Linked DNA regions of Pelodiscus sinensis. The protein of the gene in region 4 purifies or fractionates together with the protein of the main gene of each other region. This does not show direct contact. Links are inferred from orthologs where the notes say so. Each region holds a gene or a part of one and is shown on either strand. Other genes may lie near its edges. The genes, in order: HIF1A, RUNX2, TBL1XR1 and HDAC4.

What was found.
Region 1: the proteins of HDAC4 (region 4) and HIF1A purify together in Homo sapiens (affinity purification with western blotting; 4 studies listed by BioGRID and IntAct, with this or other methods). This does not show direct contact. The link is inferred for Pelodiscus sinensis from reciprocal best matches to the Homo sapiens genes HDAC4 and HIF1A.
Region 2: the proteins of HDAC4 (region 4) and RUNX2 purify together in Homo sapiens (affinity purification with western blotting; 3 studies listed by BioGRID). This does not show direct contact. The link is inferred for Pelodiscus sinensis from reciprocal best matches to the Homo sapiens genes HDAC4 and RUNX2.
Region 3: the proteins of HDAC4 (region 4) and TBL1XR1 purify together in Homo sapiens (affinity purification with mass spectrometry; 3 studies listed by BioGRID and IntAct, with this or other methods). This does not show direct contact. The link is inferred for Pelodiscus sinensis from reciprocal best matches to the Homo sapiens genes HDAC4 and TBL1XR1.

Annotation. Positions count from the first base shown.
Region 1 is NC_134714.1:13,950,694-13,957,810, reverse strand, and holds the start of HIF1A (hypoxia-inducible factor 1-alpha), read right to left. Parts: upstream 3,010-7,117; 5' UTR 2,885-3,009; coding exon 2,859-2,884; intron 578-2,858; exon of another isoform or gene 328-577; intron 1-327.
Region 2 is NC_134713.1:11,418,264-11,425,735, forward strand, and holds the start of RUNX2 (runt-related transcription factor 2), read left to right. Parts: upstream 1-4,459; 5' UTR 4,460-4,585; intron 4,586-4,785; 5' UTR 4,786-4,846; coding exon 4,847-4,904; intron 4,905-7,472. UniProt on the Homo sapiens protein: Transcription factor involved in osteoblastic differentiation and skeletal morphogenesis. Essential for the maturation of osteoblasts and both intramembranous and endochondral ossification.
Region 3 is NC_134720.1:43,459,848-43,467,429, reverse strand, and holds the start of TBL1XR1 (F-box-like/WD repeat-containing protein TBL1XR1), read left to right. Parts: upstream 1-4,575; 5' UTR 4,576-4,765; intron 4,766-7,582. UniProt on the Homo sapiens protein: F-box-like protein involved in the recruitment of the ubiquitin/19S proteasome complex to nuclear receptor-regulated transcription units. Plays an essential role in transcription activation mediated by nuclear receptors.
Region 4 is NC_134717.1:63,920,094-63,927,676, reverse strand, and holds the start of HDAC4 (histone deacetylase 4), read right to left. Parts: upstream 3,022-7,583; 5' UTR 2,873-3,021; intron 2,865-2,872; exon of another isoform or gene 2,643-2,864; intron 2,451-2,642; exon of another isoform or gene 2,299-2,450; intron 1-2,298. UniProt on the Homo sapiens protein: Responsible for the deacetylation of lysine residues on the N-terminal part of the core histones (H2A, H2B, H3 and H4).

The DNA.
Region 1 (7,117 bases), on a different chromosome or scaffold from region 4:
AACAATGTGGGACTGTTAAGTAACACTTGATGTTTGCAGTGTTGTAGCCCTACTGGTTCCCAGATATATTAGATGCACAAGGTGGGTGAAAAAAAGCTCTGTGTAGTTTGAAAGCTTGCCTTTTCCACCAACAGAAGTTGGCAGAATAAAAGTTAACACCAACACCTCATCCACCTTGTCTCTCAACACAGACTTTCAACAAGTTCTCTGTTCCAGCTTGCGTAAATGTCAACGTATGTCCTTCCTTTTTTTTAAAAACCTACCCAAATCTTTGCTCTATACGTTTATAACATCCAGAAGAGTACTCAATATGCCGCAATACTTTACCGTAAAGACAATGCTACAGGAAGATTCAGATGGAAGTTCTTCCCACACTGAAGTAGGTCTCCAAAAGCAGCAACCAATAAATTATCTCTCTTGAGCTTCACCTTGAGTTTATTCCTTCTCTCCTAGATACACAGATTCTTACATCACGCCCCCCAGCAAATCTTCCCTCCCTACCCCCAAAAGGCAGATCAACTCCAGCAGCAGGGGGTGGGTGAGATTCTGTGGCCTGCACTGTGTGGGGGGTCAGACTAGATCAGTGGTCCCCAACCTTTTGAGGTTGTCGGGCGCCAGGAGGCGTGGCCGTTCGCCCGCCAGGCGCCAGAGGGCGGGGACACTTGCACGCCCGGGGCCGGCCCCCTCCCCAAGCGCCGCGCGCCCGGGGCTCCCTCCCCTCCCCAAGCGCCACGCGCCCGGCGCTCCCTCCCCTCCCCAAGCGCCGCGCGCCCGGCGCTCCCTCCCCTCCCCAAGCGCCGCGCGCCCGGGGCCGGCGCTCACCGTGCGCCATGTGCCCGGGGCCAGGCCAGCCCCGAGCACCTGGTGGGCGCATGCAAATGCCCCCGCGGGCACCATGGCGCCCACGGGCACCGTGTTGGGGACCACGGGACTAGATGATCATAATGGTCCCTTCTGACCTTAAAGTCTATGAGTACTATGAGCAGGAAAAGTATGAAAAACAACAGTCATGGACAGAGATTGACAGGACTATAAAAAAAAGTGAATTCCTAATTTTTTTCCAGACCAGCTTTAAACTGGGCCAAGCTTGGTAAAGGTCATTCACTTATGATGCAACATTTTCTATGAGGCTCCCTGATAGTTATACATGGATTATAATAGGCACCACCCATACGTACCCTACTGTATGCATTTTGTTACACAGGGTTTTTTTGTTTATTAAAACAAACAATTAAAACTGGTGCAAAGGTGGTGTTTCCCCAAGAAAATTGCTCAGTATTTTCACCCAGAGTATGTGCTCTAGCTGCACAAAATCAACATTCACCATGAAAAGCTAATTCAGCCACAAAGATATTGCATTTCTCTCATTCCCAGTATCATTTAAATAGTAAAGCATTTTATATCTCATTTGACCTAGTCAGATGATTCTCTGATCCAAAGTCCAAGATCTCAAAAATGGTATCAACAACATAAATATACTCTGCCTTCTACAGATAGAGATTAAATTAATCCCTCCACAAACCTCATTTGGAGGAATTTGTCTAAGCTAAAAACCTCATCACTAAAATATTCCTCAGCAAACTCTACACCTTCACCATACAATTAAGGTTTATTTCTTGAAGCTTTCGTTTCTCCCTTTTAAATCTAAATTGAAAATTCTTCGCCAAGAAAGTTATTTACACTTGGAACATCTATTGTTCAGTAAATTAGCTCTTTTCTAGGAAATCAATATCTTGAAGAATTGCTACTTATAGGTTCAACATGTTAAGAATCTCTACTCCTCCCCCCTAACAAAAATAGCCAATTATGGACACCAAAATTGCAGAAGATGCCTTAATTTAAAAAAACAAAAAAAAAACTTCACAGTTCATTGTTAACCTACCCTTTTCAACTCAGTATGTTATGGTACAACTCCAATCACAAAAAATACTGTGTTTATTTTCTAAACATATACACACAGACATTCTCCTTCCTCCTAATGTAGCTTTCAAAATGTCAATTTTCGAAATAGCTAGTACAGAGCTGCACACTTTCGTTTCTGCTTCCTTTAACTGTTCTACCTTCATCAATCGGGGTTTGCCTATTTTTGACAGATTATATAGATATTTGAACATGGATACTGTTCTTAAATCCCATTTCCAGACTCAATCCTTCCCTCTTCGCAGCCTAATATTCATTACACTCACACATTAACAAATTACACACCGCACTGAGCCAGGAAATCTGGTGAACACACATATTTAATCCACTGCAAGCCAGTCCCTACTTATTCCAAGCCAAGAGCAGACCAAGGGTTTTATTTTTTGAAATTCAGTGGCAGGAAGAAAAAAAAAAAAGTCTCAGCTGCAAGACACTGAATCCCAGGGGGCCTCGTGCATGAAGTGCCACCGATTCCTCGGGGCGACCAAAAGACTTTAAGCAGAACTGCCCCCCCCCCCAAAAAAAACTCCCCACGCAAATCCTGGATGTTAATTGTCTAAGCTCCAGCGCTCCCCCCTTTTCCCCCTCCAACAAAATGGCGACGTGGACAGCGGGGAGGAGGAGGAGGAGAAATGAAAGAGCAGCCCTCTCCGGAGGGCCGCGATGGGTGGGGGGCAGGAGTGGGGGGCTAAGGAAAAGGGGGGGCCTGGAAATGGGGGGGACCGGAATGTGACGGGCACTGGAATGAAGGGGCCCCCCCCCCCCGTTGCCTAGGGGACCCCAAGGGAGGCCGAGCTGGGCAGAGAGCGGCAGGACCCAGCGGCTCCCCCCCGGCAGGCGGGATCCCAGCCCCACAGAGCGGGGGAGGGCGCAGGCCGCGCGGGGCGCTCCTGAGGGAGGGGAAGGCCCCGGGAGAGGGGGGGTCGCGGCCCCGGTACCTTTTTTTCTCGCCGGCGCTCTCCATGGCGGCGGCTCCTGGCTGCTGCGGGGCGGCTCAGCGCATGGGGCAGGGCCGGGCTCGGCGGCGGCTCTGAGCGCGCAGGGCGGGCCGGGGGTGGGGCGCCGCGGCCGGGCGGGGCGGGCCCGAGCCGGCGCCGAGCCACTGAGCGGCCGCCGGGCGCCCGGCCCCCTTCGCCGGCTGGGTCAGCTGAGCCAACAGCTGCGAGGGGGCCGGAGCCGCACGTGTCGGGCTGTGTGCGGGGGACGAGCCCCCTCCGCCCGGGCCTGCGCGGACGCGGCCTGCAGAGCGCTCGGGGCGGGGCCAGGCGGCGGGGCCCCGAGCCCAGCACCGACCCCCCCCCGGCACAGTGAGTCTAGCGACCCCCCTCCTCCCCCCCCCCCCGCCAGCACAGTGAGTCTAGCGACCCCCCCGCCTCCTCCCCCCCCGCCAGCACAGTGAGTCTAGCGACCCCCCCGCCTCCTCCTCCTCCCCCCCCCCCCGCCAGCACAGTGAGTCTAGCGACCCCCCCGGCTCCTCCCCCCCCGCCAGCACAGTGAGTCTAGCGACCCCCCCGCGCCAGCACAGTGAGTCTAGCGACCCCCCCGCCTCCTCCCCCCCGGCACAGTGAATCTAGCGACCCCCCCGCCAGCTCCCCCCCCCGCCAGCACAGTGAGTCTAGCGACCCCCCCCGCCCCTCCGCCAGCGCAGTGAGTCTAGCGACCCCCCCGCCAGCTCCCCCCCCCCGCCAGCACAGTGAGTCTAGCGACCCCCCCCGCCCCTCCGCCAGCGCAGTGAGTCTAGCGACCCCCCCGCCAGCTCCCCCCCCCCGCCAGCACAGTGAGTCTAGCGACCCCCCCCCGGCCCCTCCGCCAGCGCAGTGAGTCTAGCGACCCCCCCGCCAGCTCCCCCCCCCGCCAGCACAGTGAGTCTAGCGACCCCCCCGGCCCCCCCGCCAGCGACCCCCCCGTCTCTGCCTTCCCCCCCCCCCCCCGGCCAGCACAGTGAGTCTAGCCACCCCCCAGTACAGTGAGTCTAGCGACCCCCCTGCCTCCCTCCCAGCACTATGTCTAGCAACCCCCCCAGTACAGTGAGTATAGCGAGCCCCCCTGCCTCCACCCCCGTCAGCACAGTGAGTCTAGCGACCCCCCAGTACAGTGAGTCTAGCGACCCCCCCCGCTTCTCCCTAACACAGTCTAGCGACCCCCCAACACAATGAGTCTAGAGACTCCCCCGCATCAGCCCCCCCCCCCCCCAGCACAGTGAGTCTAGCGACCCCTGTGCCTCTGGCCCCCGCCTCCCAGCACAGTGGGGCTAGACACCCCCACCCTGACTCCAACCCTCCCCCCCAGCACAGTGGGACTAGAGACACCCCCAGGCTGCCTCCTATACACACACCCCTGCACAATGGGGCTAGAGACTCTCTGCCAATGACACTCTCTCTTCTCTCCCGCTCAGTGGGGCTAGTGACACCCCGCCCCCCATGCATAGTGAACCTCGAGCCTGCCCCCCAGACACAGTGAGGAAGAGACTCTCCCGCCCCAGCCTGACTCCAAGGCCCCCCTGCACTGAGAAGCCTAGAGACCCCTGAGGATGTCACTGCCACACTCCTTACCCACAGAGAAGCTAGAGATCCTCCCCCACACACATCCCCAGTGATGCTAGAAAAACTCCAGCTGCTAGGGCCCAGGGAACATTTTTAAGGGGGTGGGAGTGCTGACTTCTTCCCCCTTACCCTGCCTTCTCCTACCCCTAGCTGAGGTCAGGATCAAAGCCCTGGTGTGTGGAGCAGCACCAGGGACCCAGGGCATGACACTGGCAGGAGAGACTGCAGGAGAGCAGATTGTGTGTCTGTGCAGGCTCTACACATCAGAACTGCTGTTGCAGCTGAGCATGGAAAATGGCAGGAGGCAGTGTTCTATATGTCTTCCTGCCCTACACAATGATTCAAACATTGCTGTTTAGAAGTCACCGGGCATGGCTCAGACCACAAACTTTCCATTTATAGAACAAATAGACACAACTAATAAAACAATAAGGTCTTTTAAAAATTATGTCCCCTATCCTGAGACTCTTCATGAATAACCTGATACATAGAAGTGGTCCTATTTATATTAATAGGACTACTCACCTGCAAAAAGCCACTTGGGAATATAATGGTTTATAAGACAGGGTTCAGTGGATCCACTCCAACTCCCATTATGATAACAGATAGACTCCTACCAACTTCAGTAGGAGGACTGATGCAATGGGATGACCGACTTCTGGTGAATACGTAGCCTTACTGTAGGAGAAATATGACTGCAATGCAACCATAGTACACACCTGCAACCATTTATCACTCTAGTCTTTTGCAATACAATACAGGTAAAATAAGTTCTGTTAATATAGTATTAAGAAAATGTTCTGTGCTGAATATAATACAATTAGTTAGTACCTTTGGTACCAAAAGATGTCATAGTATTTTACGTATGCAGCATGACGAGCATCCATGGTGCTTTACCAAACACAGAAAAAGACTAGGTCCTTTCCCAACGAACTTGCAAGCAAACTCAAATAAAAAACCAAGAGACAACTGTGCCAGCACAAGTACAAGCCAAGACTTTGTTGGTGAAGAGAGGGTGTAGACTACAGGGTTTTTTCAAAAAACTTCCCATGTCTAGTCTGCTGCCACAGTCTTTCGAAAGTAAATCAAAAGAACGCAGCAGTTTTTTCGACCATGGAAAACCTTGTTTTACAAGGAATAACGCCTTTTTTCGAAAGTGCTCTTTCGAAAAAAGATACTATGTAATAGAAAATTGTGCTTTTTCGAAATAAAGCATCCAGACTGCCTGGGTGCTCTCTCTTGAAAAAGTGGCTTGCTTTTTTTAAAGTACTGGTTGTAGTCTAGACACTCTTTTTCAAAAGAGGCTTTTTCAAAAGAATCTTTTGAAAAGGCTCTTTCGAAAGAGGCTTGCAGTCTAGACATAGCCAGATTGACATAGTAAGCTTTGTGAAGGAAGCCTAACAAATATAGACACACAGTAAGAAATATCTGGAAAAGAGAAAAGCACCAAGAACATGACACACCACGGCTATGTCTACATTGGCACCCTTTTCCGTAAAAGGGATGCTAATGAGACAAGTCGGAATTGCAAATGCCGCGGGGGATTTAAATATCCCCCGCGGCATTTGCATGAACATGGCTGCCGCTTTTTTCCGGCTCGGGGTTTTGCCGGAGAAAAGCGCCAGTCTAGACGGGATCTTTCGGAAAATAAAGCCTTTTCCGGAAGATCCCTTATTCCTGATTTTAAGAGGAATAAGGGATCTTCCGGAAAAGGCTTTATTTTCTGAAAGATCCCGTCTAGACTGGCGCTTTTCTCCGGCAAAACCCCGAGCCGGAAAAAAGCGGCAGCCATGTTCATGCAAATTCCGCGGGGGATATTTAAACCCTCCGCGGCATTTGCAATTCCGACTTGTCTCATTAGCATCCCTTTTACTGAAAAGAGTACAAATGTAGACACAGCCCACATGACCACAGCTAAGGAGAGTGGAGAAAGAAACTTTTGGTCCGAGTCAGTGGAATTAGCATTGAAGGCTCCCCTGCAATGTTAACTATGTCTTCTCGATCATGTGGATTATAGGCCTTATTCTGTGAGGGGTAAATATAAGTGAGATACAGAGGGTGTTCAGAAGTGCTAAAAAGCTTTCATTATATTCCATCACATGGATCTGCAGCTGCTCTGTCTCCTTTCCCATGCTGGGTCTATCTTGTCAATTTAGATTATAAACTCTTCAGGACAGGTGCTGTCTGCTTTTCTGTACAGTGCCTAATACAATAGAGCCCTCTGCTTGGTTCACCTGTAGACATTCCCACAATAAATGATAAAACAAACAATAATAAATGCTCATTTAGGGCTGGGTAATTTGATATACTCTTAAATGAATGATACACAAGGAGCTACACCCGTTGAAGATAATATTTTATTATCTTTGATTTTTAAAGATAATTTTGGCATACCTTTCTGTACATATTTTATAATGTAATGAAAGCACCTTGAGGTGCAAGTTGGTGGTGCTGTGATACCCTTAACTCCCTGGCTTTTATATATGTAGGTTTTTAATTTTAACAACTCAGATAAAGTCATTTTTTGCATACAACTGAAGAAAATGGTGACTTTGAAGTTTAAACAGAAATGGCAGGGCGAATAGTTGCTGCAATCTGATACACATATGTCATGGATTCTTTTTATCCTTTGAGATTTCTCATCCAAGAACTGA
Region 2 (7,472 bases), on a different chromosome or scaffold from region 4:
AGACAGAGAAAAGACAAAAAGTTTATAATGATTTTAAACAGCAACTATTGACTGCTTACTGGACTATATTTAACTAGAAGGACTTGTACAACAGAATACCAATGATAAGAAGAAAAATAATTGAGCAATAATGTACAAAAGCAGCAGTCAATAAGATATATTTGGCTTCTAAGATGCAGAACCTTGCTCAATGACTGAACAGCAGGCAAAGTTTTCCATTACTGTTGTTCAAATGGGCATTATGTGACTACTTTTTTTTTTACTGAATATGGCAAAGGAAGGTTCGTAACCCCAGGCAATAAGAGACAATTATGTTAGTTAGAAGTAAATTAATTCCCAATTAACAGAAAATTACTCTCATCTCCATGTGTAGAGAAGATTTCTGTTTTAGGGTTAAACACTTCTTTAGCAGTAAGAGTCCAAAGAGTAAACTAAGAAAAGACAACCCATATTTGCTTATACTGGAAGAAGAGAGAGAATTTTTCATACAGAACCAAACTATCAGCTTCATTCCATTTCTAGTTAAATTATGATTCAAGAGAAAAAAGAGGGTGGGGTGACAATGTATATAAAACAAAGGCAATCATAAACACACATGGAAAATTAGGCATTTATCCATTCAGTACCCTGGTGGCCTTTCAGCAAGAATGTCTATGAATAGCAATATAAGCTGTCATAAAGAAGTATTTCTATTAAATACTCTCTTTCTGCTAAATAGTACACAAGGTTTGTGGTAATAAGTTAACATTTGTGATACTGAATATAATTCATACAACTGTAACAATTTGGAAATTTAAAATCCAAGTAAACATTAGTCGATATAATGGAGTTTTCACAAAATGTGTAAATACCAAAATTACACACCTGCACAGAAATAAAATGTAAATAAATTAGGTAAGAAACTGCTGCACTGCTAACAAAACTATACCCAAAATGAGAATGACTTTTCTAAGGATTTGTGAAATGCAGAGTGACTTCTTGCCGACAGAAACAGGAAAATGCAACACTGTTTGAGACAGACCAAACGCAGCAGTATCTGTGAGTTTGATGCATCAAAAGTAGCAACATAAGGATATGGCATATTATAAAAATCTTATTCTTCTGGGAAACATAAAACACAGGGGATAAGTTATTCCTTTAAAAAATTAGCTGGTAGGAAGTTGACCATACCAAAAAAAAATTTTTTTAAATAGAAATATACTCTCTACGATGTATCCTATAGGTTTTATGCTAGATAAAGTACAAAAAACAAAATGTTTGGAAATAAGATAAAGCAAGGCTTACAGGTTTTGAAAACAAATTTAATAAAAGATCAAGAATATAATGGTATTAGATTTGTGTTGAAACTGATTTTAATTTCAAAATGAGACTTACTGTCTCCATAACTGAACAAGTCCATAATGGTCCACATGAACAAGTCCATAATTTACAAAGCAAATTCTTTAGCCTAATACTTATAGCTATAATTATATTAGTAGCCTAAAGTAATTTTAAGTTAATTTTGCTTTCTGAACAAAAGTCTTAAGTATAAGCCTGCAATTAAATTTGTTTACACAGTGAATGAACACAGTTGTCAGAAATAATATATCTTCATCACATTAACAGTTATTTTTGAAGAAACAAGTTGGTAGGTATTACGTCTATACATGTTTTTGTTTAAGAAACTCTCTCATAATTAAAAAGTTTACTTAAACAATAACAAGAAAATATTTGTAACACTGAGAAAACAAATTTATGTTCTAAATGAATATAGAAAATGTCTAAAACTACATTTCAATCCCACATGGTACAATGTGTTCTTATGGTTCAATGATCTTCACCCTGCTAAATGGAGAATTTATTGTGGCAATCGTAACCTGGATATCAAAGATAAATAAAATAGCCTGTTACTGTCCAAAAGGTTATCCCATTTAAGTAAACTAAGAAAAGAAACATTAGTTGAATGAACTTAAGGTACTCAAGTCAAAGTAATAAAAAAAAGCATCTTGTGTCAATTTTACTTCAGTGTATCCAGTTCAGAGATCCAGTCCTATGTGATGAGTATGATTTTCAGTTATTAAAGAAATGAATAATAATTAATGTTGGGGCTTCTGTCTTTTAAAATTATAAAGATCAGGCTTAAATGAGAGAAAATATAAGAATTTGCCTCCAACAGTAATCTATTATATGGTAACTGAATATACTTAGCATTAGCATAATATAGTATCTGAAACTTTCTCAACATGTAAATGTATTCGCTGAGATTTTGTACTTATAATTTGAAATTCCACAAATCATAGATACAAACACTTTCAAATGCTTTTATTATATTAAACGATGACTTCTAACTCACACATGCACACTTTGTTTATCCAACATAATTAATACTCTATTTATTCATTTTTATGCCTCAAAATGCTTTCTTGGTGATGACACTATCGTGTAATACAAATCTATATTCAGGGATACAAGAAGCCCATTTTTAGAGGGACAGGTGGGTTTTTGTTTTGCTGAGTTGATATCGATTGCACTTTTTACAAACTACATATATCAGTTCATACACTACCTAGTAAGTTTTCATTTAAAGAAACAGTCCTAGACATTTGGCAACCTCTATAGAACAGGTAAAGTGTTGAACTGAAGACAATATAGTGTACATTCCAATACATATTGCGTTGAGATGTTCAGAAACAGGATTGGGTTTATATTTTTCTGATAAGAATCTGCCAAAGAAAAGCAAAATGTACAAATAATAATTTTACTGAAATACTCGTTTTCCATCTCCTCTCTCCACACTCCATCCACCCACCCACCCAAAATAGAAAGACCCTGCTCTCCGCCCATCTGTCATCCAATTAGTTTCACACCACTTCTAGTCAACTGCTTATTGCAGAAGCAATGGAGGAGATAAAGGGGGAAAGGAGTGAGGAAAGCCAACTGCCAGAGACATGCTTATGAAGAGTTTTACAAATAAATGATGAAAAATGTTCAGAAAATTTCAAGTCTGTATTTCTTTTCTGCCTTTCTTCTGACTCCCCACATACAAAAAATAATGGAATTATAAAATACAGCGCTCATATGATACAATCATGCTAACAATAAAATGAGTTTTACACAAACACATGTCCAAAGGGAACAAAAATAAGATAGTTTCTTAAAGATGTTTCCAATTTTATTCTGAATCTGACTGAGCAAATCAAGACTACTGAACACATTATTCTCTACTACACACAGCATTTTGCAATTTATTTCAAAGTCTCTATTATAAACAAAAAATACTGCTTTTGTTAACACATTGTGTCCTGATATACTAAAAGATTATATTGCACTAAATTAAAGCTGTAGTCCATTAAGCATATACAAATATTACACATGCATATTATATTGTGTTTAAGCCTCACATATTCATCAAAATTATGTTTCATTTTCAAAGTAAGCACTAACATTAATGGCAAAATAAAACTATTAACAGGATCCCTCAAAAAGTCTCAGGTGATACTGTTTCTCTAAAACACTTAAATTGTAAGTAATTGATGTTAGCAATCAAAATTCCATAACCAATAAAATTCACAGTTTAATAATGTCTATTTCAATCATTAAATGTTTTATTAAAAAGCATAATTTATAATACAGTACTCAAAGTAGTTACAATATACAAATGATAGATTCTGCAAAAAAGCCAAGACTGATAAATAATTGCCCTTAATTTTCATTATATAAAGCTGCCAGCTAATCTTAAGGTACATAAGCAAGACAGACATGATTTAAGATTTGTAAAGGAATACCCAGACTAACGCTTCTCTGACAGCCAATTACACTACAAAACACAGCCCCAACAAGCAGGCTGCTACCAGACCTTAGGAAAGGTAAAATTTCTTACAATGAGTTACAGATTCACAAGTATAGGAAGACAAGAAGAAAAAGAAAAACAGAAGGAATCCAGCCACCCAGCAAATATGAAGCAGACCCAAGATTGTGATACAATCCAAAGATGTAAATTATTGTAAATCATCACTGTTGTTCAGAATTTCACACAGCCACTTGCGCCAATTTTGCTTACTTTTCCACAGACACAATAATGAACAAAAGAAAGAATGAAAGTGGGTGGGGGGGGGGGGGTGAGGGAGAGCCTGTACTGAGAGTACAAAGTTCTGCTGTCCATATGCTTTAACTGTACAGGAGTTTGGGCTCTTTCAGCATTTTGTACTCTCTCCAAATCCTCATGAGTCACAAAAATTAAAAAGCTATATCCTTCTGGATGCCAGGAAGGGCCTTGCCACAGGCCTTTTGTCAAAATAAAATTAAAAAAAAAAAAGACAAAGAAAAAGAAAGAAAAGCCACATTGGTAGGCAGTCCCACTTACTTTGAGGACTGTGATGTCACAAACCACATGATTCTGTCTCTCCAGTAACAGTGCTTCCAAAAAAAAAAAGGAGTTTTAAAGCTTTTGCTTTTTTGGATTATGTGAATGCTTCATTCGCCTCACAAACAACCACAGAACCACAAGTGCGGTGCAAACTTTCTCCAGGAGGATAGCAAGAAGTCTCTGGTTTTTAAATGGTTAATCTCCGCAGGTCACTACCAGCCACTGAGACCAACCAAGTCAGTAAGTGCTCTCTAACCACAGTCTATGCAGTAATAGTAGGTCCTTCAAATATTTGCTCATTCTCTTTTTGTTTTGTTTCCTTGCTTTTCACGTTATCAGTGCAACACAATTTTTTGACAGAAAAAAACAAATACAGAGTTTATGCACTCTAGACACACTGTAATACTAAAACTGGGATTGGGTATGGTTTGTATTTTCAGTTTAAGGCTTCAAGCAGTATTTACACCAGAAGATACAAGTTGCGTGTGAAAACAGAGGACTATGGCATCAAACAGTCTGTTCAGCTCAGTGACACCATGTCAGCAAAACTTCTTTTGGGGTAAGTATTATGTTTATTTAATTCTATCAATGCTCACTGACTGCCATCAAACCAAAAACTTGTTAAATAATATTTATGGTATTTAGAACGCATAGTATATTTGGGAGTAGTCATGAAAAAGAGGTTACCATAAATAACACATGTAGATTTAAGCACTAATTTGTTAAATAGTAATCTGACAAGGTAGGCAAAGTGAAGTCACTATACTGTACAATCCAGCGTTTGACAGCAGGTGTGCTGTCACCTTTGTAAGTCACTGTTTCTAGTTGTATGCATTTAGCAAAGTAAGATGGTGCTCTGAAAAAATCAAAAATCTTATTAAAATATGAATATTAAATGAGCACAATAAACAATATCACAGAAGAGCATCAGGTTCAGAGGCAGGGGGGGGGGGGGGTGAAATGTGGCATTTTATAGCTCCAGCATCTTTGCAATGGACAAATGAATTACTAATTTATCACTGCTAGTTCTCTGTATCTGAAGAAAATAAGTAAAATACAGGACTTAGAAACTTCTCCTATACAACTGCCCTACCATTGTCTTAAATGTTTCATAAACTAAGAAACGTCATTTAGCATAAACGTCAAAGTATTCAGCATTAATCTAGAGTCAACCCCAAAATCAGTAAAACACGCATTACAATGCATTGGGCTCTTTAAAAATAGTTTTTCTAACTACATTTTAATCATGAATCAGTTGAGATCATTTTTCTGTAAAAACTATTCATATGTGGAATTTAAAAATGTGGAAGAAATTCAGTTTAATTTGTAAGTAGCATTTTTTTAGCAGCTCTGTATAATAGTATTTTGCCAAATATCAGCTTGATATTCAAAACTGTAAACAGGTCTTAAAATATCTTCATTAAATAATAATTAATTACACATGTGTATATTTACATACATGTTCCATATACAGAGTACATATACGCTGTAAATTGATATTGCAATCACTTTAATTTTAAACCTTCCCCAGACCTGTTTTTTAAAATCAATAAATCACATTTTAATCCTCTATTATATTAATTATCATTCGCTAAAACTGAATAATTATTTTCTGATTTCTATGAAATTCACAATGCAGCTGAGTGTTAGCTGAAAGAGTGACAGCAAAATCCCAAAGCATCATAATAGTTGATCAGCGGTCAGGTATACATGCAAATTTTTTAACTGAAACAGGTCAATAAAACTATCTGATTGATCTCAGAGAAACCAAAAGAAAAGCACATGAAAACTTACAAGATTTTCTTAATGCTGTCCATCATGCTGAAACCTTGTTGGGGTTGTAGCTAAACTTTTACCTCTCCTCCCCCACAAACACTTCAGAGAACAAAAAAAAAAAAAAGGATGCTAGAAATACTTTCAGCACATACACCTAGATTAAGCTTATATTGTAACTAGCTTATGGTTGGAGTTCCCTTTACCCCTCCTACTTCACACGTTTCAACTGGCTAGTAGTTAAGCACATGAATGTACTGTAAGTCTATAAGCACAATCAAACAAAGAAAGTTCATATTTAAGGAATAGAATAACTTTAATTTATGATGTACAAAAGCACTGATAGACTACATAGTGCTGCTTCTCAGCACTAGCTGTCTGAAAGTGCTCATGCAAAGGTGTACTACACATAATATTGAGGTAAAATATGGACACAAAAAAATAGACTTTTTAATGGTAGGCAGTATTTCTACTAAAACTGCTGTCCTAATGAAGCGCAGCCGAAGTGTAGCCAGACCACATTATCCCAGTGTTTACAACAGGAAATACAGTTTACATGTATAGGGACTTTCTTTTGCTTTTACTTCCAAAAAAGATTAGGAGAAATTTAGTTGGCTAAAATTATCATAACATGAAGTGGTGACTGCTTAATTCATCTACTTTTGGCCATTCTTTAAGCTACTGAATAATGTTCCAATGTGCTTCCAAATTTTGCATATATAGGTAAGGCTGAACAAATAAATGTGTCTTTTGAGACAAATTACAATGAATTTCTAAAGTAAGAGAAGAATATCTCCTTGACTTTATATTTAATCTTAAAAAAATAAGAATAGAGGCTAGAAGATCAAATTAGTGTTTCCAAGCAAAATAGCGTGGTTCTGTATAGAATGCATAATCCAACTATGATCTTCATTATAGTCAGGTCCCGCATTTAGTCTCCTCCCATTCTGTTCTCTAATTTATTCTTATTGGGCCTGTTAAATTTGATGGCGTTTTTCTTAAGAACTCACCTGTGGAACTACTGATGGCTGACAGCAGAGCCAAGGAAGTAAAATGCATCAGACTTCTGATCTGCTTATCAATAAGTTTAATAGTATCTCTGCAATTTTTTATTTTACCTGATGCAATGCATTTTAATCGTAACTGAAATCATCATGCATTTTCTATAACTTCAAAAAACAAATTCCTACTTAATCTAATGAATTCTGAATTATCCAAAAACTGTGTTCTGTATTTAAACTGTTGTACAGCACAGGTAAACGTAGAGCTAAATCCCAGGCTGGACTGAGTTCTGCCTGTGAATAGTAACGCTTTGAATCTTTTAATTCAAGCCTGTTAATTTTGAGTTTGTCAA
Region 3 (7,582 bases), on a different chromosome or scaffold from region 4:
CTGTAAAAAGTGTGTGCTTGTGCAGTTGCTTGAGAGAGTCAAATGCCACCTGCCTAATTAGCAGAGAACCCACAGCAAAGTTTTGTGTTTCTTTTGGCGCTGCACATTTGCTCATGCCTTGGTGCATGTGAAAAAATTATTCTGCACATGGATGGAAAAGCTTAGAGGGAACATGGATTAAGGAATTCATCAATAAAATCTCAGAATTACAATAAGTACAAGACACATGCAGTAGAATGTCAAAAGATACAAACACCAGTGTTATTTACTTATCAGTCAACTGGACATCCTGTGGCACTGGAACGCCTCAATCATGCAGCAGCACAGATACAAAGGGAGGAAATGCAAATCTTGTAGGGCTTGGGGCGGGGGGCTTTACCCCTGAGGTTCAGGGCTTCAGTCATGGAAGAGGAAGTTTGGAACATTAGCCACAGGGTCGAGGCTCTGGGTGGGGTGGAGGTTGGGGCTTCTGATCCTCAGGAGCTCTGAGGATTTAGATTGAGGTGGAGCTCGGTGGCTCAGGGCTTAAGCTCTGAGGGAAGCACCAATTTCATCCCTAGCACTCCCCCGAAGCTAGAGACCTTCCCGATTGGGGCATTTGAGGGGCAGAAATAGAGCTGTGGGGAGCTGGGAGCTGCATGACTGAAGCCCTATAAGTCCCATCAATCTCCACAGGTCTAAAGTGCTGGGTCCTGATGCTTCTGCTAGGCACAAGTGCTTAGCTCTCCTCCCTTCCTCCCCCGGCTGGAGACCTGGAGCTCCAAAGGGTCAGAAACCTCAACTTCCCCTTCCCCAGCCCTGATCCTCCTCTGAGCCTGCGATGGCAGCCTCCAACCCCACACATGACTGAAGTCCATAACTACTACTTCAGATGCTGTAGAACTATTTGTTGTTTTTAAAGTTTTTACTACTTCAGCGTTATGGACAACAGCCGTTCCCGAGTGCCTGTAACACTGTATTGCAGTACAGTGTACTGCAGAATTTTCTTGTCTTTCAAACCCCCGTAAAGCAATTTCTAATATGTTGAACACAGTGGAATGTGAAGGGAATGTTGACTTGTTCTTCATCAACATCACTTTCATTATGTGATTTGTTTGTTTTCTGTCAGGAAAAATAGCTTGTATAACTGGTCATTCATAAGATTGGTGTTTGTAAAATTGAGGTTCTGCTGTAGTTGGAGGGAGACTGAAAGTGATGTGCCGCACAATGCTAATGTGCTCAGGAACCCACCAGATCCAAAGTCTCTCAAAGTTTGGATCCAGAGTTTAACCACATCTCTGAACTTCTGATAGGACCAAACCACAAAAGTTCCATCTCCTTTAGTATGAGAGGGCTTGGAAAAAATAACAGTGCTAAAGATTATTATTTATTTAAACATGACTCCCTAGGTTCTACACATAACCCAACTCTGTAAATCCTAAACATAGATTACTCATTTAACAAGCACCCTAAATAATCTTCCTTGTCCAATTACCCCATATATCTCAACCCAGCAGACTGAGCTCAGATTTATGCAGGGACAAGAGTTCCAAGGTCAAGGGCGTATAATAGAAACTAGAGTTTCACATCCTAAACAATGCTGCCATGGAATCAAAGAAGGAAAGAATTAATCTTTCAAGAAGCAAGGTCCCAAATTATTGAAGGCTTTGTAAATCAAAACCTACTCCTGTCCTGCAAACACAAGTGTGTGGCCCTGTTGATTCCATCTTGTCTACTCCCATGCTTGTAGTGAAACAAATGTTGGTGTTGGTATGAGTGGGGCCTCATTTTATATTTTTTTTATTTTAAGATTGTGTAAGTGCTAACATTATTAAAGCATTATGTACCAAAAAGCACTCCACAAGGTCTATTAATTGTTGTATTTATCGACACATGCACAAATATACTTACTTGTTCTAGGCCCCTTCACAATTTTCAAAATTAAAAATCATTTTTTTAAAAATATATCCATCCAGTAACAATCTGAACCCCCCAAACCAAGTGGCTTCTACATAAGAATATATAACTGACTTTCTGCGGTCCTCAAACCCTGCATGTGATCCAGCTGGCTTCAAAGTCCTACTAGACTCTAGCATGTCTTAAAGCAGGGTTTGGTAACCTTTCAGAAGTGGCATTCACTTTCTATTTACAGATCTGTGTTCCCCCAGACCGAATCCCCATGGGTGCAGAGCCCTGAAGGCACCCAAGCCCCCACTAGCTTCCTGTGTGTACAGGGTCCTCTGCCCCAGTGCTGCCGCCTCCCACTGAAACTGGATGGAGCGCAGCCTAACCTGGTGCCAGGGAAGGAGGAGGGCGCTAGTGGCTCATGCTCCATGAGAGCTGTGCAGCCCAATCTGCAGCCTGCCCCGCAGGAACAACAGAGGTGGATGCCCAGCGGTGGGCAGGACTTTTTCGTTGTGGGGAGGCTGGGCAGAACTCCTCCATGTGTAGCTCTGTGGTCTGCCCATGGAGGTGGGGGCTGAGTTTGCTTTCTTCACCTCCCTGCCCTGTCCCCTGGAGCTGGGGTTGCAGCCTTGCAGCTGTGCACCGGCTGTGAGGCTCCAGCGGCAGTGCGGACTCCCAGCGTGCCACTCAAAAACATTTTGTGTGCTACTTATAGCACGTGTGCCGTACGTTGCTGACCCCTGTTTTAACGGCTGATAGACTTGAGTTATTTTGGCTTCGTAATTAAAGAATTTGAAAAGAGAAAGTGCTATACTCCATAAAGGGCTAAATACATATTAATAATAACAAAAAATTAACAAAGACAAGCACCAGGGCCCTCAGCCTCCACAGTTGAACAGTTCAGGGCCATCCTGTCCAGGTGGAGCAGACTCTCCCCAGCAGTGTGAATTTCACCCTGGCACCAGATCCTGCAGTCAGATCCACACGAGGATTATAGGGAGTAGGGCTTTGTGCAGGCTCAAGCGTCTGCACGTGCAAATTTGACTGCTGAATCAGAGCCTGTAAGTGTGATCCACAAAGCACTTTAAAATGCAAAGCATTGTGTACTAACAAATATGATTCACACTAATGAAGCTTGCTTTAAAACCCTGTGACATAAAGGCTAAATAGTATTAAAGTGTCCTAAAACAAACAGCATGGCATTATTATCAATAAGACATTTTATATTCTGAAAAAGAAAGCAGTCCCTGAATGCAATTGGTCTAGGTAGGTGTTCCCTTGAGCATGGGTGGAGCTCTGGAGTTAACCCTCTCAGAACCAATTGTAGGATGGAGGCCTACCATTGTTAAAAAAAAAAGAAAAAAATTTAAAATAAAGCATTATATACATGCTAAATGCCAATATTATGGAAATGCATTGGACATGAAACATGTTCTGGAGGCGTGTAAAAGATGATTGACAATAAAACCACACTACCCAGCATTACTGCCCTACGATGCAGGCTGTTGCATGGGTGTCTGGGTGCATGTGCGTGTGTGTGTGTGTGTACACATGCATGGTCTTAAGGGAAGGTGTCTCATGCAATACTGGAATCCCAGCATCCACCCCCACTCCTTGCTTGTTTTTCTGGCTGCTGCTGGTTTGTACATCATTCATAACAAGGCAACACCTGGCAATAAGGCTGAGTGTAAAGTGCTGCCAGGCCTTGGGGAGTATACTGTATGCGTGTTCCTGGAAGCAGAGGAGGGTCTCTGCCGAATGCTTCCCCTCTGTGCACACTGCTTGCTTTGCTTTACATGGTCTTGGTAATAATCCTGGGCAATATCGCTTGATACAGCTTGCTGCAAGCGGTGTGTGTGTGAAGTGCGAGGGTCTCCCTTCACTGTACTGGACCCCCGTGTCCTTCCCGCTTTCACCCTGCTGCTGCTTTGCAGGCTGCTGCTACGATATATTCTTAATAATCAACCAGTGCCCGCCTTGCACTGTTGCCCACCTCTTACGCAACAAGCTGGGGCAGGAAGGAGCAGGGCTCGCCCTGGGTGCCCCTCACCCCTCTGGTGGGTGGTGTGCCTAATCATAAAGGAGCCTGGCCAGAGGGCCCTGTGCAGCTGGCTGGGAAGGCATGTGACAGGGAAGGTGGCGGCGGGGAGAGGCGGGTATCTCCCTTGGCACCCCAGGATCCCACCCACCCTGCTCCCAGGCAGCATGTGGCTGGCCCCTGCGGAATCCTGAAAAGCAGCCCTGCCTTGGCCATATTGCCTGGGAAAGGGGGGGGGGGGGGCGTGTGAGAAGAGGAGGGTCTCCCCTCCCCTCCCCCATGGCTGGGCTGGAGGCTGGTGGTTGCTTTTGCAACCAGCCGCCCGGGCCTGCTGCTCTGCTCCTCGCCCGTCTCTTTCTCTCTCATTTCTGTGCGGCTGGCCACCGCGCGCGCGCTCTCCCCAGCGCGGAGTGTCTGAGCCGTTGGCTGCTCCGAACCGTTTGGCTCCTTCCCTTAGTAACAGCTTTTTACATTCTGCCTCGATTCCTCTTCAATCGAAATCACACACACAGGGTCCTCCCCCTCCGTGGGACTTCATCGCCCAGCCCTTCCCCCACCCCTCCCCCCCCACTCTGCCTTGGGATACCATTGACTCTCACAGCCCTGCGGGGTGGCTATTATTTTTCTCTCCCCCCCCCCCTTTTGCTATTTTTTGCCCCCCCCTCCCTTTTTTTTTTTTTTGGATGGTTGCTTGGAGTGGGCACCTCGGCTGAGAGGGAGAGTGTGTGTGTGTCTGTGTCTCAAGCTGTAGACAGAGGAGGAAACCCAGGGTGCATTTCTTTTGCCTCCATTGCAAAGGAGAGGGGGGAGGGCAAAAGCAGCCACTCAGCCATCAACGGCAAGGTAAGGACTTGGGGGTGTTCTGGGGCTTTTTTTTTTTTACTCTCCTGGGCTGGATCAAGTGCATCGGGGGGGGGGGGGTGATGGAGCCTCTTTCGGGGTGCGGGGGTGGGGAGAGGCTGTGGGGGAAGTGATCCAGGGTGGGGGGAAGGGAGCTGTGTTTGTGTCTGTGATAGTTGGGGGTGGGGGATGGGCACCAGTGTAACATGCATTTTTTTCCCCCCCCCAACTTGGGTCCCCCTTTTTAAAAATGTATTTTTTTGGGGGAGGGGGAGCTGGTGGTTTCTATTGTAAATTGCACCTCTGTAAAGCTTGTTTTTTTGGAGGGTTTTTTTGCCTTTCTTCCCCCTTTCTTATTTCTCCCCTCCCCCCTTCCTCCTCTCCTTTGGATTTTATTTTAAAGGCTTTAAGGGGGGGGGGGGATTTGCAGCAAATTGAATCAAGGAGCCATCATGAGGCAGGCTGGTTTATAGCCTATTTTTAGCCTGATTTGTGTAAAGAAGAAGAATCCTCCCCCCCCCCGTCATATTTACTATTTCTAAAATAGAGGGCGGGGGCGAGACCACCCCAAAGTGTGACCTTAGGTCTGTATTTATTTTGCAGTCGGCTTATGGGTTGTGTCTGCAATGTATATTTTTAAGAAAAGCTGGGGAGAAATGTGCTTGTGTCTGAACTCATGCTTGAGTGGGGGAGGGGAATCTGTGTCCACACTTTCCTCTGTGTGATTTTTTGGGGGGGGTTATTTATTCTCAACGGTGTATATTGTCTTTCATTTGTAACTTAGAGGGGTGTGTTTCCTTTTTGTTTAACTACATTTGAGATACAGCCCTGGATTTAAGGGAAGAAAATATCTGTATATGTAATTAATTCCCCCTCCCCCCTTGTAAAGTGCTAAAGTTATTGTTGATCAGTTTCCTGTTTAATTCTGGGTGGATTTCTGGGTCACATTTTCTCTGACAGGATAAGGGCCACGTGTAAAAGACAACTCATGGGCCCTAGTTTTGCAAATAAGCCTTTATACCTGTTAATGGGCTATTTTTTAAAACTTAATCAGAAATTCAAAATGAGCCAGTCAATCTTTTTTTGTGCATTATATATTTTAAAAAAGAGCTTTACACCTAAGTTACGTGTTTTATTGTGCTGCTAGCTGACTATATTTACCCATTGTATGGGCAAAATGCATACTTCACTATATTATTTAATGGGGTAAACATGTATGTTAAGATTGTTCCTAGTGAGTTCAATCTTTCATCACCAAATTCCCTTTTCTGGAAAATGTATAATAAAAATCTCCTTAAGTTGTGCTTAATGGCAGAGTCTTGTTGCTTGAGAATGCATGTTTAGTTTTCAGGATAAAGTTTCATCTGTAGTTGCTGTTCAGGGTTGCAGAGTAAAGTTTGCTCATGGTCTTTGCTGTCAGATGTACCCAACAACCTCATTTTCCTGTCTGTATAAATCAAAACTTTACTGATTTATGGAAGAGATCGCAAAATATGCTTATTCTTTGTTGTTAAAGCATAGGATATGGAGAGTCATGATCTGGAAAACTGTGTTGTCCCATAAAACATCTGAGCCTGATTGCTGTTGCTTTGGTGATCTGGTATATTGAATAGATATTTGAGGGCCTCACAAAACATATTGACAAGGGAAGGGTCTTTATTATATATGGCCTATGCTCTCTGGATATTGAATGTTGGCTTTAGGTAGGACACAGTGTAGACAGAAGTGCTGTTGGCAGAGTTCAGGTTTAAGTTTTGAATAATGCCTTAAGTTTTAGGGCCAAATTTTGGGTCTTGATTGTGCACTGAACTTTGCCAAAGCTCAGATGTCTGGCCTTGGCATGGACATCTTAATATTAATCTTTTCAGCTTAAAGTTAAAATTTAAGGCTCAAATCCTAGAAACACTTATGCAGGTGTGTAACTTTAACCACGTGAGTAGTTCCATTGGTTTTAATGAGACTATTTATGAACTTAAAATTAAATATGTGCTTAGATTTTGATAGAGCCTGAGAATTAAAAAAAACTTCATTGTTAAGGTAAATCTGCTTAGTATAGCTGTTCATGTTATGTAAATAATAATAAACATTCTGTAGCTTCCCAAAGTGATTTATTTTATTATTAATTACATATTACCTGAGACTCTCTCCTAATAAAATTCAAGATCCTGAGAGTGAAGCGCAGGCTTGTCTCCGTGAACACATGGTTCATGTTGGAATGTGTCTTGGGAACTTTGTGGCAAGTCTCCCAAAATAGTATTCTGAACACCTAGAAAATATTTATCATTCACTCCATATGGGAAAGAGGAGAAGGAAATTTAAACATGCAAGAGTAGTTGGGACTTGAGTTGTTAATTTCAGCCTATACACAAGGGTATACAGTTGATATTGTTCATTTAAATGTTTTCTTGCTTCAATGAGAATAATAAATGTTGATCAAAATTATTAGACATAATTGCTACTCAGCATTCCCCCCCACAAAACAATATGAATGAAAATTTTTACAAATGCCAGTTTTAGTTTTTCTTCCAATAAGTGATGTTTCGTACATGGCTTTGAAGTTGCAAAGCATTATATAAATATTAAGCATTGTAAAACTTTACTGTGACTTTGTAATTATTATCACTCAGATAATGAGTGTAATGAATGTTGTTAAATCCTACAAACATGAGGAGATGGATGAAGTACATTGAAATGGTCAAAATGTGAATATATTGTATGTGTATCTATTTGCTTTGTTTTTAGTTAATTTTTTTAGTGAGGAAGAATAGATCCAAGTGCATGTAAAGTATATTGAATGGTTATGGAGTTTACCATAACACA
Region 4 (7,583 bases):
ACTAAGAACATTATAATGATTTTTTTTAAACTATGACATGACAATTGTTGCACAAACCAACATTTTATACAGTAAAACTCCATTTTAAACACACAGCAAATCAGAAGGAAAAGGGAACAAGGCACAGTGTATGGGCCAGAATGTTACCTGTAAGTTTCCTTTGATACAGTCATTTTGTGTTGTATGTTAACAGTATAGAAACAGCCTTGAAGTCATCATGAAAATTTGTTACACAAAACTATCTACGCTTACCAAACAAAATAATTCTGTCTTATGGTTTGCCAATTGATAAGTGTCTATTTGGCTCACGTATGTGGACAAGCATAATTTTGTAATGCTAATTTACTAATATCTCAAACAAGATAATACAACATAAGATATAAAAACTATCATAAGCATGAAATGCATAAGATTCTTTTACAAGTCCACACTTTAACCACGATGAATTTTGGTTACCATAAAAAAAAAATCAAAAGAGCTCCTTTTAATGGGTGTTGCATTCGATAGACTCACTTTTTAGCGAAGCATGTACACTGTGGGCCATCATCATGTTAGCACAGGCACATGTGCAGAAGGTGCCAGAAAAGATTCTGAGAAGTTTTATAAGAACACAGGCCACCACAACTCAGTTGTGTGCCATCTCCCTATTATAACTACGCAGTCAAAGCAGTAATTAATTACAGTTTAAAGAGCTGTCTTCGCTTCTTTATCCAGCAATCGCTTTTATATTTTAGTTCTGGGTTATGAATAACTGAACCATCCAAAGTCCTATCTTATCCAATGGAATACAGCCGGTCCCCAAGTTGCAAATGGTCGACTTACGACTGTTCGCAGTTACGACCAAAACTGTCGTAAATGGCAGACCCTGAGTTAGGAACGCAATCCGCGCTTACGAACAGCGCAGTCACATGTAACTCAATGGGGTCCGACTTACGAACAAACCGAGTTACGACCCACTTGCTTGGTCAGTAACTGGTTCGTAAGTCAGAAAGAGGATATATTTGCATATTTTCTAAACGTAATAGGTATTATCCTACCTATCTATTTTATTATATAATACACACACACACACACACACCCACACCCACCCACCCCCAAAATATATATCTCCCTCCCTCCCTCACTGGGGGGGGGGGGTAAAACTAAAGGACAAATTTGACTTTTGTTTTAAATTGGCTTAAAATGAAGAATTCTAAACAGCTTCATCAATTCACAAGTGAGCTCAACCTTTCTTATGCCAGAACCCCCCGCCCACACCCTTGCCACTCCAGAGAGCACGTCTTCTCTAGTAAATGGCTGAAAGGGACAGACTGTTGCACTGGCTAGGGAGGGAGCTCTCTAGGCAGGGCAGTAGGAGGGACATGAGTACACCCACACCCTCACTACTTCCATCTGCAAGGATCCCCCTGCCGCAGGAACACTCTCCCCCCCACAGACACCCCCAGTGCCCGTGACAGCCTACCAATTCCCCCACACACATACACCAGTGACTGCTGAACAGAGACAGGCACTCAGCCCTCCAAACCCCTGCACACAAACACAGCAACGGGTGGGCCGCACAGACAGCAAGTATCGGACAGACTGACCCACACAGCTTCCCCCGTACACAACAGAGCCAAAGCCTGACAGACAAATGCTACCCAACATGTACAAGTGACTGTGGACAAACACACAATTCCATCCCCCCCAATCGCACACACACATACATCCCATGTGTGGCTGTCCGATAAACATACAGTCCCCTCCGCACACACGCCACAGACAACCCGCCCCCACACACACACCCCCATGTGCCAGCCTGACACACAAAAAACCCCACCCACACATGCATATGCATGCACACACACAGCCTGGGTGCCTGACACCCTCCTCCCCCCCACACACAGCGCCCCAGTGCCAGACCCTCCCCCCCACACACAGCGCCCCGGTGCCAGACCCTCCCCCACACAGACAAACCCAGGGTGTCGGACTGCCCCTCCCACACACACACACTAGGTGCCGGACTGCCCCCCTCTCTCCCCACACACACCCCAGATGCTGCCCCCCCCACACACACACACAAACACAGACCAGGTACTGGCCCCCCACACACACCCCTTATGTCGGCCCCACACACACACGTGGACATGGACACCCCCCCCCTCCGCGTTCCAGCCCCCACACACACCCCGTGTGCCCCCCCCACACATCCCTTGTGTTGGCCCCACACACACCCACCCCCCGGACGCGCAGCCCCCGGACCGACCGGCGGCCCCGCCCCGCGACACGCGCTGGCGCGGCCGCTCCCCGCGCACTCACCGGCCGCAGCGCCCCACCGAGCCCCGCGCGCAGCGAGGCGGCACCGCGGCTCCAGAGAGGGCGGAGCCGCCGGGAGCCGGCGAGGGCGGGACACACCACAGCCCCGGCCCCGCCCGCCCCATTCACAAAAACCCCCGGCCCCGCCGCGCCCCGCGCTGACTGGCCGCGCCGGGGGTCAGTCACCTCGCCACCCGCCCCCGGCACCCCTTCGTCCGCCCTTATTGGCGAGCACTCGCGGGCCCGCCCTCCCCGCGCTGCCGCCCAATCGCAGCAGAGCGTGACCCTTCAAGCGGCTCAAATGCACCCGCCACTGCGGAAAGTACGCCCCCCATTGGTGCTCCGACCTGCCCATCAAACCCTGGTCCGGAACCCTCCGCGGTTCTTCGCTCCGGCCAGGGAGAAAAATAGCCGTGCGCGGCCCATCCCTTTAAGGGTCCGGCGGCCGCGAGCCGCCTCCGCAGAGCGAAAAAGCAGGCGGACAAAAATACCCGCAGCCTTAAAGGGGCCGCGCCGCGCCTGCCGCCTCCCCACGGGCGCGGCCCCCGGCGGAGCGGCGCGCGGAGCCGGTACTGACCTGTGCGGCGGCGGCGGGCGCCCGGGGCGGTGGCGGCGGCGAGCCACGGGGAGGGCCCGGCGCGGGGCGGACACAGCGGCGCGCGCGCCACCAACGGACTCAGCCCGTGATGGGATCCGCCATTTTGGAATTTTTAGATGGAAAGTCACGTGGTGCGACCATGTTTTCCCTGCACCAATCAGGAAGCGGCGGCTATTTATAGCACCTTCCCCCCCCCCCCCGCTTCCCCCTCCCATGAGGCACGAGGGGGGATGGGCCGCGGAGCCGGGCGGCGCGCGCGATGCGGGGGCGGGGCCGTAGAGAAACCGCCTTGTCCCCCCCGGCTCCCCACATCGCCCCCCCTCCCAAAACCCCTCCCGACATCAGCCCCTCCCAACCCCCTCCCCACATCGCCCCCTCCCGAAACCCCTCCCCACATCAGCCCCCCAACCCCCTCCCCACATCGCCCCCTCCCAAAACCCCTCCCCACATCAGCCCCCCAACCCCCTCCCCACATCGCCCCCCTCCCAAAACCCCTCCCCACATCAGCCCCCCAACCCCCTCCCCACATCGCCCCCCTCCCAAAACCCCTCCCCACATCAGCCCCCCAACCCCCTCCCCACATTGCCCCCTCCCAAAACCCCTCCCCACATCAGCCCCCCAACCTCCTCCCCACATCGCCCCCCTCCCAAAACCCCTCCCGACATTAGCCCCTCCCAACCCCCTCCCAAAACCCCTCCCGACATCAGCCCCCCCAACCTCCTCCCCACATCGCCCCCCTCCCAAAACCCCTCCCGACATTAGCCCCTCCCAACCCCCTCCCAAAACCCCTCCCGACATCAGCCCCCCCAACCTCCTCCCCACATCGCCCCCCCTCCCAAAACCCCTCCCGACATCAGCCCCCCCAACCTCCTCCCCACATCGCCCCCCCTCCCAAAACCCCTCCCGACATTAGCCCCTCCCAACCCCCTCCCAAAACCCCTCCCGACATCAGCCCCCCAACCTCCTCCCCACATCGCCCCCCCTCCCAAAACCCCTCCCGACATCAGCCCCCCCAACCCCCTCCCCACATCAGCGCCCCCATCCCAAGGCCCCTCCCTACATCAGCCCCCCCGCTCCTCCAGCCCTCCCCCCAAATCCCCTCCCCACATCAGCGCCCCCCCTCCCAAGGCCCCTCCCTACATCAGCCCCCCCGCTCCTCCAGCCCTCCCCCCAACCCCCTCCCCACATCAGCGCCCCCATCCCAAGGCCCCTCCCTACATCAGCCCCCCCGCTCCTCCAGCCCTCCCCCCAAATCCCCTCCCCACATCAGCACCCCTGCTCCTCCGGCCCCTCCCCACATCAGCACCCCCCTTCCAAGCCTCCTCCCCACATCAGCCAACCTGCTCCTCCATTCCCCTCCCCACATCAGCCCCCCGCTCCTCCAGCCCCCTCCCTACATCAGCCCCCCTCCGTGTTCCTCCCCACATCAGTTCCCCCCCCCCGTTCCCACATCCCTCTCTGCACATCAGCCCCCGTTCCCCTCCTGCTCCCATCCCCCTCCCCACATCAGCCCCCCCCTTGGCACCCTGCCCCCCCCAGAACTGGATCCTTCTCGCACCAGCTCCTGCTCCCACCTCATCTCCCCACATCACTCCTACTCCCACTGCCCCCCCCCCCGCACCAGCCTCTGTTTTGTCCCTTCCCACAACATGTTCCCCACCATCCCATCCATCCTGCACTAACTCCTGCATGCCCTCCCATCCCTGTGCCACCATTCCTTCCTCTTCCTGGTGCCTCATCCCTCCCACATAGCTCTTGGCACTCCGGAGTCCAAACAGCTGTTTGCCATAGGTCCCACTACCCTGTCCCCTTTAACTAGTGGTTGTCCCAAACCCCACATAGGATGTTGCAGACTATCATGGCCCTTAAGAGTCAGGAAGAGTGGCCCTTTCCCTCGCATGTCTCCTGGATGCGAGTAGCTGGACAACCTCTCACATCTACAGGAGGCTTCCAAAGATGGATGCTGTTCCTCCTCAATCCTCCAAGGAGTGTGTACTAACTAGTCTTTGAACTCCAACAGCTCAAAGATCATGAGTCAAGCCTTCCTTCCCACATCAACAGAATTTGCTTAAAAATCCTGAGATTTTTTTAAATGTTTGGTCATTTTCTGTACCTTCTGATTTCACATTGTCAGAGTTTGCACGGTCATGCGTCTCTGAAAATCACAAGGGCTTGCAACATGCTCCTTAAATGAAAGCTGAGACTGTCACACCACGGGACGCTAGGCATTGAGGTTTTTAAGAAAACCCACTATCACGACTCTTGATAACACTGCAAGAATTGACAGCGCTGTAGAAAAGTCCTTGTTTTTGCCCCAACCCACTGGAGCTCAGGCAGAGCTTGGCAGGAATTTTTGGCAGGATTCGCCACATGAAAGCAAGGAATCCCTAAGACAGCTCCCCCCACACACGCACACATGCACCCCATTCTCTGCCTACCAGACTGGGTGGGGTGGTGGGACTACAGGATTCTGTCCTGCAGGGAGCTGGGGGTGGAAGAGTTTTAGCCCTGTGCCCAGGCATGCACCACCTGGTGGGGCAGATTGAGTATGTCTTGTGGCTCTTGAACTTCAAAAAATTATTGGCTGAAGCTTAGAGGGTAAGTTAAGCCACTCCTGTACTTTCTGTTCAAAGCAGGGGCTGAGCTCCTTTGCCCCTCAGCTTACACAGGAGGTCTTCTGGCAGGCTCTCCCTCATCCAACTCCAGATCCACCTCCACTCACTGGTGGATGGGGGGGAAATGCGTGTGTGTGCAATAAGCACAGCAAGGGCTCGGGATGACGTCAGCGAGGCTGCAGAGGGGGCATGGCTGAGGGAAGGCTGAATGTGATGGAGTGCAGAGAAGGCGCATGTGGAATGTGAGGGGGTGTGGAATGGGGTTGAAGTTTGAGTTAGCTGAGCCTTTATGAAGGTGAATTGGGCAGTGGGGGAGTATAAAGTCAGTGCAAGTGGGGTGGATGTGCACAGGAAGCACCGGCATGTGTGGCACCTGTTTGAGTTGAATTTTCATGCCAGTTTGGCTATTCCTGTCCCTAAACAATGTCATCTGTGTGCCTAGAGCCCTGCCAATGGCAACCTTTAACAACCTCCCCCCCCCCAAAACTCCTCCTCTTCCACATACACATGCCAATTCTGACTCAAAGACCTGGCTTACACTACCATGGGAGATCCATCTAAGTTATGCAGCTTCGGCTACACGAATAAAGTAGCGGAAGTCAATGTACTTAGCTCTACTGACCGCAGTATCGTCACTGCGCCGTGTCAACTGGACGCACTCTGCATAAGGCGGAAGCCCCTTTTTGTTTCCTTTCTAGTTTATATTGGCAGGGGGGGTGGATTGTTTGCTCATTTTCTTTAGTTGGTGAAATTTTGGGTTTGGTTCTGAGCTAGTTCTGGGCCAAGTTGCATCAGTGTGCATTTTACTTTTTTGTGTGTTAATTGCTAAGAGACGGGGACAAGGCTCAGATTCTGAAAGATATGTAGGTGCCTAAATACTTTGGAGGATCTGGACCTAAGTAACTTAGGTGTTACAGTTTATTAATAGCTGGTAGAACAATTCACAGAATAAGATTTGGAGGTGCTTTAAGTTCCTGTATGGGTCTGATTGAGCTGTGATCAATGCAGGACCAAGGTTGATTTACGTCCACTTTAGTGGCTCCATTTTAGGGTTCAGTTGGGAGGTGTTTTGGTCACTAGCATAATTAGAGCAGGCTCACTGCCCTAAAAGGGGTCATTCCAGCATCTGAACATAACTGGAGCCTTGATACACTGCCTGTATCCCATTTCTTCTGGATATTTCCCCTTGTGCTTGGAGCTGAAGGCTGGGACCTAGGCTCTGACTAGCTCTACTTCTGAAGGAATTCCCAACTGGCCAGATTTGCTAGCTTCACGGTCTTTTTGCAGTGCTGGAGTACCACACAAAGGTGACAGCAGAAAAGAGAATTGTACCCTAGAAGATGCCTTATAGTATAGCTATTGTCTTCAAGATTTGATGGATGTATTATTGGTGCATGGGCATAGGTGCACCAATTAATATCCAGTTTACGGTAACCAGGGCATGGCACAATGACTGAAAATTCAACCTTGTTGCTGTCCCTCTAAATTAAAAATAAAAAAGTTAAGCCTAAGAAGCATTTCTACTATATGTTAAATTCAGGTGCATTCAGGGTAGTCTGTTTTCACACTGTAATTATTCTGAAAATTTTGCTTAAAAGCTATTGAAATCCACAAAAAAAAAAATCAGCATGGCTAATTCATAAAGGCTCAAATAAGATGCAATTAAAGTACTTCCCACCCACCTCTACCTTATCTTTAGCTGATTGCTACTTCTTGTTTGACAAAATGGTTACATTTTTTGATGTTCTTAATAAAAGGAAACAGATATCACCAGGCCCCAGCAAGTCTACCTCCCAGGCACGTGGATTGAGTGAAGGTAGAGTAAGACAGCTTGGGGGTTCCTGCTGCACTCCCCCCCAAACTCCAGCACTCTGGTACCAGCCCTAGATGTTGGTGATGTCACACTGTTTTGTAATTCTGGGCGCAAGTTTGACAGCTCTGTCCCCTCCTCTTCTCATTGTTCTTGTCCCCTTGATTCTATTTGCTTGTTCCTTCCTGCCATCCCACTCTTGCCACCACAAAAGAATACATACCTTTCAAGAGATCTCTGTGCTGGTCAGCAGGAGATCCCAGCA